2 linked regions of the Mytilus edulis genome follow. The protein of the gene in region 1 interacts with the protein of each later gene in a pairwise test. Links are inferred from orthologs where the notes say so. Each region holds a gene or a part of one and is shown in the gene's direction. Other genes may lie near its edges.

The links. The genes of interacting proteins can lie anywhere in the genome.
Region 2: the proteins of DNA primase large subunit-like (region 1) and rho GTPase-activating protein 8-like interact in a two-hybrid assay, tested with the Drosophila melanogaster proteins (2 studies listed by BioGRID). The link is inferred for Mytilus edulis from reciprocal best matches to the Drosophila melanogaster genes Prim2 and RhoGAP68F.

What each region holds. Positions count from the first base shown.
Region 1 is NC_092344.1:119,331,472-119,338,992, reverse strand, and holds the start of DNA primase large subunit-like, read left to right. Parts: upstream 1-4,507; 5' UTR 4,508-4,571; coding exon 4,572-4,728; intron 4,729-7,521. Other genes in the region: probable lysosomal cobalamin transporter, read right to left, coding at 243-310, 817-917, 1,412-1,475, 1,764-1,940, 4,343-4,402. UniProt on the Drosophila melanogaster protein: Regulatory subunit of the DNA primase complex and component of the DNA polymerase alpha complex (also known as the alpha DNA polymerase-primase complex) which play an essential role in the initiation of DNA synthesis.
Region 2 is NC_092353.1:640,340-647,232, reverse strand, and holds the start of rho GTPase-activating protein 8-like, read left to right. Parts: upstream 1-3,872; 5' UTR 3,873-4,096; coding exon 4,097-4,178; intron 4,179-6,893. Other genes in the region: dual specificity protein kinase TTK-like, read right to left, coding at 467-576, 1,142-1,215, 1,735-1,886, 2,238-2,317, 3,754-3,776. UniProt on the Drosophila melanogaster protein: Functions as a GTPase-activating protein (GAP) for RhoA/Rho1 during gastrulation by converting it to an inactive GDP-bound state.

The sequences.
Region 1 (7,521 bases):
TATGCCTTGAAATCATAAAACTTTTGAGTCAGTTTTTTAACTCGTACTCCAAATTCAACCAATCAAAATGCTGGATTCATGTTTCGAGCAAGATTTTTGTGCTCCGAGCACTGAGCAAAGTTTTATGACTTTCTGTTATGGTATGTAACTCTGTTTACTACAGACAATCCACTTATCAAATGAGGAGTTATTGTACTAAACTGAAAAAGCTGATATCTTTAAATCAACCTCATAATTCTTACCCAATCAACATCAGGACACCAGCTATAATCAGAAACACCACTGTGTACTTGGATGCTGTGCAGAATTTCTGTAAAAGCAAACATAATTTCAAATTTAAAAAGTGAATGATCAATCAATGATTGCATGGGATAATAATTTTTTCAACTCATGCTTCCACTCAAATAAATCAAGTTGAAAATTTTGTCAACCCTGATATTTATGAGATGAGTACCGGTATTAGGTCTCTTATATATAACAAATATCATAAATAATAATTTACTAAGCAATTTATTTTTAGATTCACAAATAAGTCTTACGTTTATTAATGCATTTAAGATTGATTGATTGATTACTGTGTTGTTAATGTATCAAGATAAATCCCTGTTAACTACAAAATGTATCAAGATAAATCCCTGTTAACTACAAAATGTATCAAGATAAATCCCTGTTAACTACAAAATGTATCAAGATAAATCCCTGTTAACTACAAAATGTATCAAGATAAATCCCTGTTAACTACAAAATGTATGCATCAATTCAATATCAATATTTGTGTATTACACATGGTTATAACAGAAATAAGATAAAACTTACAGATCTACAGGAGGTGGGATTCGACTCATCTTTTTCTTCATAAAAGAAGTACATAAATGGTAACAGCAAGAACAGACAGAATGTAACCAGTGCATACAGTGCTAAAATAAAATTTGTTTTTCGTTCATTTTATTATATAAATAAGGCCATTAGTTTTCTTGTTTGAATTGTTTTACATTGCCATTTCGGGGCCTTTTATAGCTGACTATGCAGTATGGGCTTTGCTAATTGTTGAAGGCCGTACGGTGACCTATAGTTGTTAATTTCTGTGTCATTTTGGTCTCTTGTGGACAGTTGTCTCATTGGCAATCATACCACATCTTCTTTTTTATATGAATGTTCACTTATAGCATGAAACTTTAATAACACTGCAACTTGGAAAACTGAACAGAAAGTCATGACAAATTATCTTGGAAAATTCAACAAAAAGTCAGAGAAATTAGGCTGACTTTAAAGTTTTAGATTGCAAGGTCACAGTACAATCAATTTAGGGCATGAATTAATTAGATTGCACACATAATGATATTGAAAATAAAAAAACTGTAAGATAAGATAAGATAAGTAAAAAATATGTCTTTCAAGATTAACTACTTACTGTAGTATCCTATGGCTACTGTATTCTCTACTGAGTCTCTGGTATCTGATGAATTTGCCCATTCCTAAAATGTTTTATTCTTTATCAGTAGTGTCTAAACAGAATAATTCAAAGTTCTTCCAAATAACCGTAATGAGTCATAGACATCCGACATGCCATTTTTATTTGGGACACAAAAACGCTGAAGCATTACCTAAAGTGGTAGGTTTTTTTTAGATCTTTAAATAAATCTCCATACATCTTTTAAGAAACTTGTGCGAGAGTCAAAATATCTAGTGGCATTCTTGCATGTATTACATAAAACAAGAACAACTGCAAACAAACAGATTGTTTATCATGCTGTTAGTCTTACCTTGAAAGTGCCATCACTGTTCTTCATAAATGAGGCTAGAAACACATCTATTGGTACCAAACATACTGTTAACAGGGCAATGGTAAGGGAGATAATCCCAGATATAGTTGTTGATAATGATGGATCATACTTGCTCATAAAATACTTAATATATACTACTGAAAACAGCAAGGCAAGCTAAAACATAAAAAAAAACTTGGCACAATTTGATATGAAACTCAAAGAAATAAACTGTAATTTGTAAAGCAAGGTCATCTCATTTTTCTTAGAATTTTTAATTTTTAATTTGTGCTTCCAAGAGTATCTGAATAATTTCTTGTATCATATCTTTCAAAGGAAAATTCAACAATTACACACGCCCTTATGACATCATTTACAAGATAGAAGGTGCATCTGTATCCATGCACCATCAAAGTTTGAAGCATTATTTGAATGGTCATTCTGCAGAGTAGTCTAGAAATAATGTCCGTATGTACGACTGAAGGGAGGGTGACCAACTAGAATTAAAATTTGATTTCCCATGCATATATGTAGGTCATGTGGTTATGAAGGTTACATGACACATACAATTAACTGCTGTATCTCAGATCAGGTGTATCAATTTATTGATCAGCCTCAGGTGGTCACATAGATTGTCATAGTAGAAATAGATGAAAAAGGGGTCTTTTTCTCGAGGCCTTTTGGAACAGACATAGAGAGTTATCCAATTTTTTTACACCAATAAATAAACAAAAGAGTGAATACATTGTACAAGTGAGATAACAACGAATCCATGACAACTCGCCCCACTTTTAAAAAAATAGCCACACTCTTTTTTGACGACAACTCCCATTGAAAATAGGTCCTGACAACTCACCCCACTTACGAAAAGTTTGTAAGTTTAAACTTTATAATATTAATTATGATAAAAGCCAAAACTGTATATATAACTTATAAAGTTACATTCATAAAAATTTTCTACAAACCATCTACATTGAGTGCTGTACATAGTCTGAAACAAAGCCAAAAATAATTCTAAACAAAATTACACTTATACTCTTATATCATTAGAGGTGTTCCTTTCTATAGAAACTTATACAAAGAAGCAGAAGAAAAGGGTTAAAATCCTGCTGAACATGCTGAATAAAGGTCTGCCAACAAAAACCACAATGAACTTCATCATGCCAATAGACCATTTTTAGAGTTCATCTGTCACCGGAAAAAATCATCAACTAAGCGTGCCTTTATGACTTCATTAACCAGATAAAGGGGATCGCCTGTACTATTAACCTTCATCAAGCGTCTTAGTGATTGTCATTGTGCATGGTATAAACTAGAAATAATGTTTGTTTTGTAAGTACTTAATCACTATTCCCTATTGACAGCAGTGCTGATTGTTAATTATGAGAATTTAATTTGCCGAATAATTTGTGCAATATATAGTATAATAGTTTTCCAACCACCCGCTCAACATTGGAACAGAAGTGACCATCCCCCTAAATGCACGAATGATGTTCACTAAAACATGTTCACTAAAACCAGAGTTTTTGATGGAAATGCATTGAACTCGAAAGTTGTCTATTGCTGCTATTTACAAGTGGGGCGAGTCTTTTGCTTCCGATAAAAACACATACGAGATGACAAAATTACATTACTCATCATTAGTCAGGTTGGGAACAAACCCCCTGTATGGTGATTATACCTCTATAGAAGGATCTATAAAGGGGTATTTTTGTTTGCACTGGATTTAAAGCAAATTAGGGCAGAATGGCATTTTCTAGTTATATTGGCTATAATCTCTAGCATTATATATATGCATCAACATATGCACTTTACTTAAAATTGGGATAACCAGTTTTCTGCTAAAGTGACAAAACTTGCAATCTATTGTAAACCTATCTGAACACCTGATCAACAACAAAAGGAATAGTTGACCTTTGAATTTCATGTTATATCTAACAATAGAAATTCTGTTCAGTGAGGCATAAGTGAGTAGAATTTACCTGATCATCACAGCTTTCAATCATGGTGAACAATAGCTTTTATATTTAGTCAGATAAGCATCAAACTGGGCATGTATTTTTGTTTTTGTTTTGGCCCTTTTGTTTTTGTAAATATATATATAGGCCACGCTGCGCGCGCAAACAGTAAATAATCTTCAGATCATTGAAGGACTACTGAAAACCTAAAGAAGAAGAAGAAGATGTGCATATTAAATTAAGTACATCAATTGGTGCATCAACTATTCCAGGTTACTGCCATAATAAGTAGAGAATGCCATTCTGCCCTATTTTGATTTTAGTCTAAACAAAAATACCCCTCTATAGAGGGATAAATTTACCCCTCTATAGAAGGATTATCCCTCTATACAGGTATAATCACCATATAGAGGGTTTGATCCCATATGAAAAACAAATCAATGTGTTTATGTTTTTGACAATTTCTATAGTTAATAAATTTATTTATGTTTTGCTGTAGGGACATGATGAATACAGACTGAATCACAGTAGTCAGTACCAGTGAATACAGGGGCCATTCAACTGAATTAAAGTTTTACTGTGAAAATCTGATCAGGATAAAAGATGACATGACATACTTACAATAATTATCACTACAAATGGAACCCAAGTAGCAGCAAGTGCTCCACTCAAGCTGACCATTTTGTTTTTGTTTTCGTTAAACGTCAAAGTAAAGCTTTATCTAGAGTTATCATTGTTTGTAAGCGTACAGATGCAGTTGAACGTAAAAAAGTTTTTAATCGACAAAGTCCGAAAGTTCCGAAAACATTTGTTTTGAGCGGGAAAGGCAAACAACAAAAAAGTCAACAAAATGGATTTCGCAGGCAACAGCAAAAAATCTGGACGATCCGCAAGAAATAAGAAACAGTTCAACCGCGTTGGTCATAATTTACAGTTCTACAAAATACCACCAACGGGGGAAATATCCCTGCAAGAGTTTGAAGAATATGCAATTGACAGATTAAAAGGTGCCCTAAAATTAGCCAAATTTACAATTAAGATAATCAATGAAAATCTAAGCAATTCTCCCTAATGACTCACAAATAACGTTATTGAAAAAAAAAATCCTGAAAAAATGATATAGCAATAACTTCTGACTAATTTTTATCTGGATACACCGATTTCCTGAGAAGTTCATGATTCGAGAACTCCCCAACAATACACCTTATCGCTATTTGTCCGCCATTACTGAAAATCACACAGGTTCCCTTAAAATTTTGACGTCATAATATAAAATATCTGACGCCACAATGGAAAAGTGCTTGTTGTATGCGTCAAAAGTTCAAGCGGCCTGGTCAGCCGGGATTAGTGATAAGGTGTATAGTCAATACGACAATACATCTCATAGGCGGATCCTGGGGGCCTGGCCCCCCCTTTTGTGGGAAAAATTTGGTTGATTATATAGGGAATCATTGAAGCATGACTGGAGCCCCCCCCCCCCTTAGGAAAAGTTCTGGATCAGCCACAGCATGTTATCGCTATTTGTTTGCCATTACTGGACATCACACAGGTTCCCGTTAAATGTTGATGTCATTATACAAAATATCTGACACCACAATTGAAAAGTGATTGGTGTGTGACGTCAATCATTTGTCCATAGTTCAAGCGGAACAGATTCTTGGGTCACCTGGGAAAAGCAATAAGGCATATAGGCCCCTTCACGGTTAGTATAGCCATGTAGAGAAGGGGTCAGATCATTTGAAAGAGGTGGAAATTGTATAATAATACAGGAAACCCTATGCACATGATGCATGTTTCTAAGAAACTGCTCTGTTTTATTGATGTTTTCCCAAATTTTTCAGACCTTTTAAACCTGCATTATGAAAATCTGCCTATATTCAATATGGCCAAACTAACTGTAAAGGGGCCTATTGAATATTGACCTGAGAGCCGATATATTATCTGAAATCTTTATAGGTTTTAAAGTAGATACATGTACTTATGAGATATTAGTCATTATTTACTTTATAATGGTACCATTTCACCTCAGGAATTTAATTTCTGCGTCTTTACACAGAGTTCACGAAAACTTTTTTTTGACCTGTCGGTCATGGGACTGACAAAGCAAGATTATTTGTCAGTCCTATAAAATTTTAGCCAGTCCTTAAAAATCTGACAATTTTATCCTGAAATAAAAATAATATCCTCATTTTGACCGATAGGACCATTTTCGTGAACTCTCATGCTTTACACAGATATGGATAACAATATGGTAGACGTAGTAAATATTCAAAACGCATATCGTCTAAGATTGCAAAGTTGTGACACTTAGGGATTTCCACTTTATTGGTAATATCATGCTAAGGCCATGGAAAATTAATTGTTGGTTTCCCCTAACATGGAAAAATTTTAAAGACCCGGTAGGCAGGCTCTTTTTTTTTTTTTGTAACCATGCTTAATTTTATATCTATATGTTTTGTTTCTACAGCAGAACTTTAATCTTGTATATTTCAAACACTTTGTGTTATCTCTGGGTTTTTTTTCCAGAAAAATTAAATGACCCGGTCGGGTTAGGGGAAACCATGAATTATTTTTCCATGGCCTAAAGCATTTATCATGGGCAACTTCAAAAAAACTTAATCAGATATTTTTTATTGCAATTTTACTCATATCATCATGCATGAAAAAATGGAAGTTGTGAATGTTCTTGCATATTATTTCTTTTAACTGTTTGCACTATTACTGTTTTATTCCTCTCTAATCATTTCGTTGAGCTCGGGGAAATCATAGCAATGTTATTGACAGACTGACTATATTTCTGAAGCTATTCATCAATTAAGTGTATAAGATTGTTTGCAAATAATTAAAAATTATTACATTCACAGTGAATAATATTTTCTCCAAGGTTTTGTTGGGTCTTTTTTCTTTTGTTCAATCGTCCTGAACATGCATGAAATATTTGACACTGGATGGTAAACAACCAACAATCAAATCAATTGTTTGTTCAAGGTTGGATTTTTTTCTATTGGTTTGCATATATAAGTGTAACAAACGTCCAATCATTCATTGTCATTGAGGATATAACTTCATCTATTTACAGATTTGAAGTTTGATTGAATCACCTCCACTTAAATGCTATTCTTCAATAAACACACTTAATATCAACTGCCCATTGATCCATACAAAAATCTTTGAAGTTTAAATTGAAAAATGTGTAAATTAAAACCAAAAAGTTCTTCTCAAAATAATATATTTAAATAATTGAATTGAAAATATTCTTATTTTTGGGCAATTATAGTTCATGATAGTTACCTTTATTCATTTTAGTGTTATATAATTTTGAGCAGAAACCAAAGAAAAATTATGAGGCTTTAACATTTTGTATACCTACAAATGTATGTTTGAACATAGAAAGAAAGACCTTCAAATACAGCCATTTAGGATTAAGATTATTACTGCAAGTCTCCTATTGTACCAAGGTTGTCATCACTTGAACATCAAGGATAAAAAAAAAGGGTGAATCTGTATTGGGAACTACAAGAATTTTATTTTATTTTATAATACTTTTATATATATATTTTTTCGTTCACCGTCTGGTTCACACCTGATTTGAAATTGTGCACACTACCCTAAGCACCCTTTCAATAGTTTCATTTTTGATTTTGATCACTTAAATGTCCAAGGTTCTTCAGAAAGGGGCACACTTTTCTCTCAGATATTCATAAGCTGAAAGGGGAGATTTTTTAGTTTGAACTGAAATATCTGATATGCTTCAGTTTGTTGGGTATGTTTTGTCATAATGTTTAATAGAGTTAAATTTC
Region 2 (6,893 bases), on another chromosome or scaffold:
TATATACAGAACAAGTGATGTTTTTGTTTACTAATTATGACTTTAATATGCACATAATACAGTAACTCTTTATGATGCTTAACATTTTTGCAGTTTACATGTTTAAGCTAGCACATTTTTGTTATTTAGGTAACAGTCAAAATTGCATAAAACAGTAAAACAAATCTACTTTTAAAGAACAAATAATCCAAAACAGATTGACAAAAATATTCCAGGAGATAGATCTTATCATGCTCATCATTTATGCAGTGTTAACTTTTAACCTAGCTACTGTAGTTTTCAAAATAACAGGGAAAATTGTGAAATATGTATATTTCAGGGGAAATAACTCCAAAACTTGTATATTTTTCTCCCTAATTGGACAATGGACACACAATGATTGCAAAGGCTCTCACACCCCTATGAGCCAGTCAAGTTTAAATGCATATTTTATAATATTCTTTAAACAAAAAATACAAATGTTTACCTTCTTTGACCTCTAGCTCTGCTGAAGCAATATGAACTATGGCATATCTTTTGACTATGTTTCTTGCTTCTGTTAGCAGCTGAATGGCATCTTCCAATAGCAACTGTTCACTGTAAATTATGAATAAATCAATTATCAAACTATGCTTTTGTTTCTGGAAATAAATTTTCTTGACTAAACAAAATACTATGGCAGTTAACATTCACTTTATTTAGTTATACCACAGTAAGAAATTGCTGTTTTAAAAACTGTCAAACAAAACAGCCATTGTTATTTTCCATAATTTCATCATTGAGGAATACCATTTCCCACATAAATTTGAATTCTAAGGAAAATTAGAGTCAAGGATAAAGGAAAAGACAACACCTCACAAACAAAATATCAGAGAATAAAAAATAAAAGCTTTAAGTTAATTTTGTACTATAAGTACATGTTGTGACTATAGTTTTGATATGCCAAAGATCCCTACAAGAAATGGAGGAATTAACGTTGATCATGATATTAAGGACAAAACAAATTGGTTCAGAGCTGCATTTGCAATTTTGGGAAGTAAATATTGGTGCTCATGTTTGTAACAAATATTCATTAACCAATCTCACGAAAGTACTGTATGGCATCGTTGTGCTATCTCCACAATCTTACAAAATTATTACAATAATCTATCTGTTATATTACCTTTTGACCTCAGCAAAGTCTATAAATAGATGAGCAAATGCTTCATTGTCTTTATTTGCCTTTCCATCAATAGCCTGTAAATAAAGACAGAGAGATATTAATAATGATGGTGTGATTTTTAAGACATAAATGTAGTGTGATCTCTGAAATATATATCAATAAAGATAGTGTGATCTCTGAGATATAAATAAGTATGGTCTGACATCTGAGTGATATACCGTAGTATGATCTCTGAGATTTAAAGATTGTGTGCTCTCAGATCTAAATAAATATTGTGTGACTTCTGAGAGATATAGCGTGATCTCTGAGATTTAAAGATTGTGTGATCTCTAAGATATAAATAAATATGGTGTGACATCTGAGTGATATAGTGTGATCTCTGAATTTAAAGATAGTGTGCTCTCAGATCTAAATAAAGATCGTGTAACATATTAGACATTAAATAAAAATAGTATGATCTCAAATATACATAGCTACAAGTATAGTGTGTTTCTAAGTTTTTATGGAGCACTTACCCTGAAATTTTCTCATACAGATCAGAGAGAAAGTTGTGAGCCTGGAACCTATCATTAAAGTTTGTATGGGACTCTTACCCTGAAAGCTTTCTCATACAGATCAGAGAGAAAGTTATGAGCCTGGAACCTATCATTAAAGTTCAGATTGTGTCTCATGTAAGTTGTATATTCTAACCAATCTTCAGCACGGTTCCCACAGTCAGTTATCTTTCTCATCCATGTTTTATAATCTGAAAAATTCTTGGAAGTTAAGTAAAGAAAAGGAATGGTAAGAGCTATAGTTGTAAATGTTTTCACTCTTTTCCAATAAAGTGTTTTTATTTATTGTTTTTATTTAGCATGTTTAGAAATGAAAAAATGAAGTAGTATTTAGGAACATCATAATTTTTAAAGATTTTCAATGCTTTGCCATTTTTTAACTAAAAGGACAGTTCTACATCTAAAGCCATTAAGAGTGGACATTCATATCTTTTCTTATTTATGAAATGGCTAGGTAAAGCTATAAATCTGTCATGACATGCTGATAAAGCGACAGATAATATCATGTTAAAACAAAGCCAGATTAGCTAACCAATACTAACCTGTCACCTCACTGGTATCCTCCTTCTTCAGTTTGTGTAGCTTACTCTTCAAAGAGCTCATGGATGTCATGGTTCCAGATCTGTAAAATAAAAAAAGGAATTAAGTACAATGAAGTACATGTTTGTGAGTAAACTGTAAATCTGTTGGAAATGGCTTGGTAAACTCTGCCATATTCTGTAAGTGATTGACCCAAGTAAGAACTTATATATTTCAAAGGTAAATATTGTCCAGACAATACAGCATAGGTAAATATCATCCAGACAATATGTCATAACATTAATATGTCTGTGGCCACAACGTACTGTGAAAAAGTTTCTGTCATAAGTTCATGGCAGAAAATATTAAATCTTACATATTCAGTTCCAAATCTGATTGAAGTTTTGTGGTGTCCTTGGTCAGTTTTGATTTATATACCTCAATCTACGGTCATGAAATAAGCCATGTCTTCTGCTGACCCATAAACATGGAATGTCCTAATGAAATTTCACATTGCATTAAAGTACATAGAGTTGTATCATACTTATAAAAAATAAAAACTGATGTAGGTGAGTGCAACTTAATAGTTGTACATACCAGAAACAATACTTGTTAGATTTTTTTCACGGTATATTATACAATTTTACTAACCTGCTAACTGTATGATAAGTTCTATTCATACGAAAACTAACAGTTTTTTTTTAAAACAATTTTTTATAATTACTCATTTACTGCGAGACGAGTATTGCCAAAATTTTGTGTGTACGTTGACGATATAATTACGACTGCCATACTTGGGTAGGATTGCTACGGAATCATCCGACAACAAATGTAGGCATGTTATACAGTGATTACACCATTGTAAAGATAAATCAATTTAGATTTATGATATAATAAGTTTTAGTGGGGTTGACAGCCTCTAAAGCGGCATATAACGGAAATTCGTCACCACCTTACATTTTTCTAAAATGCAAGTTAAGTACCTTGTGTTATATTAAGGTATGTAGGAAATTTTTTTCTGAGACAAGTGCCTGTGAATTGACCAGTAGCCGTATTGACTTTGCCAAGCTCTTCAGAGCTTATGTTTGTAATTGCTTGCTTATACCGACTCTAAATAAAGCTTTATGTCTTATGTCAATAGATGAACACAGGCACTTGTTTCTATCAATGGGAAGATCGACTATGCATATATATCATGTATATATATATATAAGAAAAAGTTAAGTAAAGTCCGTATGCTGGTAACATATAAGAAAATTATTAAAAGATAATAACGGTAAAGTGATGCATTGAAACCGTTATTATCTTTTAATAATTTTCTTATATATATATATATATATATATATAAGCTTCTATATATGGATAGTCTACCTTCCCATGGATAGAAACAAGTGACTGTGGCCAAAATTATAGGTGTCGAATAATTTTACCAGGTGCCGATTTGACTTGTAGTAGTACTAGATATATATACTTATAAACCATACTAAAAATTCAGTAACCTTCTTTTACAATTAAACTTATTCCTTTTGTTTTATATACTCAAGGTTTTCATATCCATTCATAATTCCCTGACATTTTTTAAAGTGCTTCTTAGTTGTTTTGATTTGACAAAGAATTTTGTAAAAAGCTCATTGATTGGACAAACCAACCCAGAAAGGGAGACAACAAAAACAGGAAACGAAGCTTACCGGATGTTGTTTTCTGTCATCACCAAAATTTGACATTCATACTTTTATTCCCCTGTATTAAAGAACATAAGACTGTCATAAACGATAAACGTACATCCTTAAAGAAAACATAGATAAATGGTTTTGTAAATTTAAGTCTGCCGATAGGAAAATGTCGGTCAATTGAAAGAGAGTGTGTTATCCAAGGGAAAATCATGAGTTCAACAAATGAGCAAGGCCTTCAAAATAAAACAGATACTCCAAGTGGAGAGGAACTCTCTTCAGAGCTGTTAGCAGGTAAAAGATTTTAATATTCAAACTGAATGTTGCATGTCATAGAAGAGTTTTGTTATTTCTAATATGATAAAAAAAAATAAAAGAAAGTGAAAAACCCAACAAAAATTCAGAATATCATATAAAAAAGAAGATGTGGTATCATTGCCAATGATGCAACTCTCTACAAGAGACCAAAATGACACAGAAATTAACGACTATTGGTCACCTTACGGCCTTCAACAATGAGGAAAGCCCATACTGCCGTCAGCTATAACAGGCCCTGAAATGACAATGTAAGTGAGAGTACATGTACTCGCAGTTAACTGACAGCTAACTTGTGAATAGATTTAAATCGGTATCCGGTTGTTCCGGCCCCAAACCGATCCGGCCCCAAGTCAATCCGGCCCAAAGTCGATCCGACCCAAGTCGATCCGGCCCACGTCGATCCGGGGCCCAAGTCGATCCAGCCCAATAATGAAATATGAATAAACTATATATTCACTATATGGAGGAATTTGTCACAAATTTGAACAGTATAAACGGAATTTGCAAAAAGTGTCGATGATGGACGACAACAGATAAGTGAAGTATTGGAGTACCAGTTAAAGAACAATTTTAAATCAATACGAAACTGAGTGTTATTGTGTCTGTGTATAGCAGTATAAGAATTTAAATGTTTTAAAATGTGAAGATACTTTCCATGTTGACTTTGAATGTCATGGCGATTTTTTTTTATTTACTTCTCACACAGAGTAGCTAAATAAATATTTACAGTCCAATGGAACCGTTCAAATTTAACTCATCATAATATCTTGTTTAAGCAAATCATTAGTCTATAATTGGTTTGTTAATTCAACAATTGTCTGATGATTGTGAACTAAGGTGATGCCACTGGTAATCACTTAATTCAATCAAAGCCTGATTAATTAAAGCATAGATGTAATACCCATTACATCTATGATTAAAGGTACGTAATCAACAAGGTCTTTAAAGTTTGATCTTTTTGTTTGGTATAAATAATAAGTATTAATTGTACATTTTTTTTTCAGGTACATCATAGGCTTCTATAACACTTGTTTTTTTGTAATATCGAATATACACGGCTGGTAATCTACACATGCAGAACATTTGGTTCTGCAATGAAAACCGTGAGAGGATTTTCCGGTTGTGCTTGAGTGGAGTAATTGTCACCGCTTCAAAAGGTATGTACATTTCTAAATCACAATTTTCTTATTCAACTGATCAAAATATTGAAAATCGGAGAATGCTATGCTGTGGTGAATACATTAATTGAAGAGATACATGTATAATTTACTGGTGTACATGGAGTTGAACTCCTACAAAATCAGTTGTCCCACGAGAAATTGCCTAAAAAAGTGACATTTGAATTTTGAAATGGTTCTATTAACAGATCTACAAGTTCAAATTCACTTGTTTTTCGGTCTATGGATATGGATGTCGTTTTTGGCGGCGTGTACGCTTTTCGGTGTTGATAGACGTCTTCATAAATCTAAAAACCTTATATTTTCATCATTTCATGCGTGAGGGAATCGGTTCTGATTGAGGACATCGTGAATGCGTGAGGGGACGTGAAATCATATCTGTATATCCAAGCTATGAGTCTTTGAAAGTTGGCTAAATTTGGTTTAATTGATGATGTAAAAACACATGTTTGTGCATAAACAAAATTATGAAATAGAATTTTGAAATAAATTGAGGGAAGATAGGTTTTATGCTATGTTTTACGAAGAATCAGTAAAATAAAAATTGTGTCAACGTTTTTGTTTCTTGCTACAAATAAATTTTTAAGTTAAAACCATCTCAGTTTTTATTTTTTACGAAAAAAGTTATCTCCCCTTAAATTGCTTATTTGACAAAAAAATTGATTGTTAAAACTCAAGTTTTGATATTTGTTTAAATATTGTACAATTACTGTCTTTGGATGAGGTAAATAGTTTTATTGACTTATGAAAAACTGATTTTCACTGAAGCCAACGGCCGAAGTGAATATCAGTTTTTTTCAAAAATCAATTAAACCACATATTTACAAAAGACAGTAATTCTTTTATTCCATATTCCGACAAAAATGTATGTAATTATTTATCAAAACAAATTTTACATAAAACAAGTTTATAAGAATTATGCACGTAAAAGTACGTGACATTTGCGCGGTGAATATACCATTTCCGCAAGTGAATATGCTTATTTATTCATAAAGAAAAACCAACTAAAATTGAATTGATATGAAACAATTTGATTTATACACAAAATCACCAAGTTGTCTGTATAAAATAAACAGTCTAACCAATAAATTCAGTTGCAAATAAGTCTCCAAACTAGACTGATTATTTGCTTAAATCCGCAAATTTTGAGACATATTTGGAACTTATTGGTTAGATTGTTTGTTCATGTAACAAAAGCTTGGTGATTTATTGATATTTCAAAATTCTATCACACAATTTCATGCACACACATGTGTTTTTTTCATGAACAATTTAACAAAATTTAGCCAACTTTCAACGACTCATAGCTTGGATATACAGATATGATTTCACGTCCCCTCACGCATTCAGGATGTCCTCAATCAGAACCGATCCCCTCACGCATGAAATGATGAAAATATGAGGATTTTAGATTTATGAAGAAGTCTATCAACACCGGACAGCGTACACGCCGCCAAAAACGCCATTCATACCCATTGACCGAAAAACAAGTGAATTTGAACTTGTAGGTCTG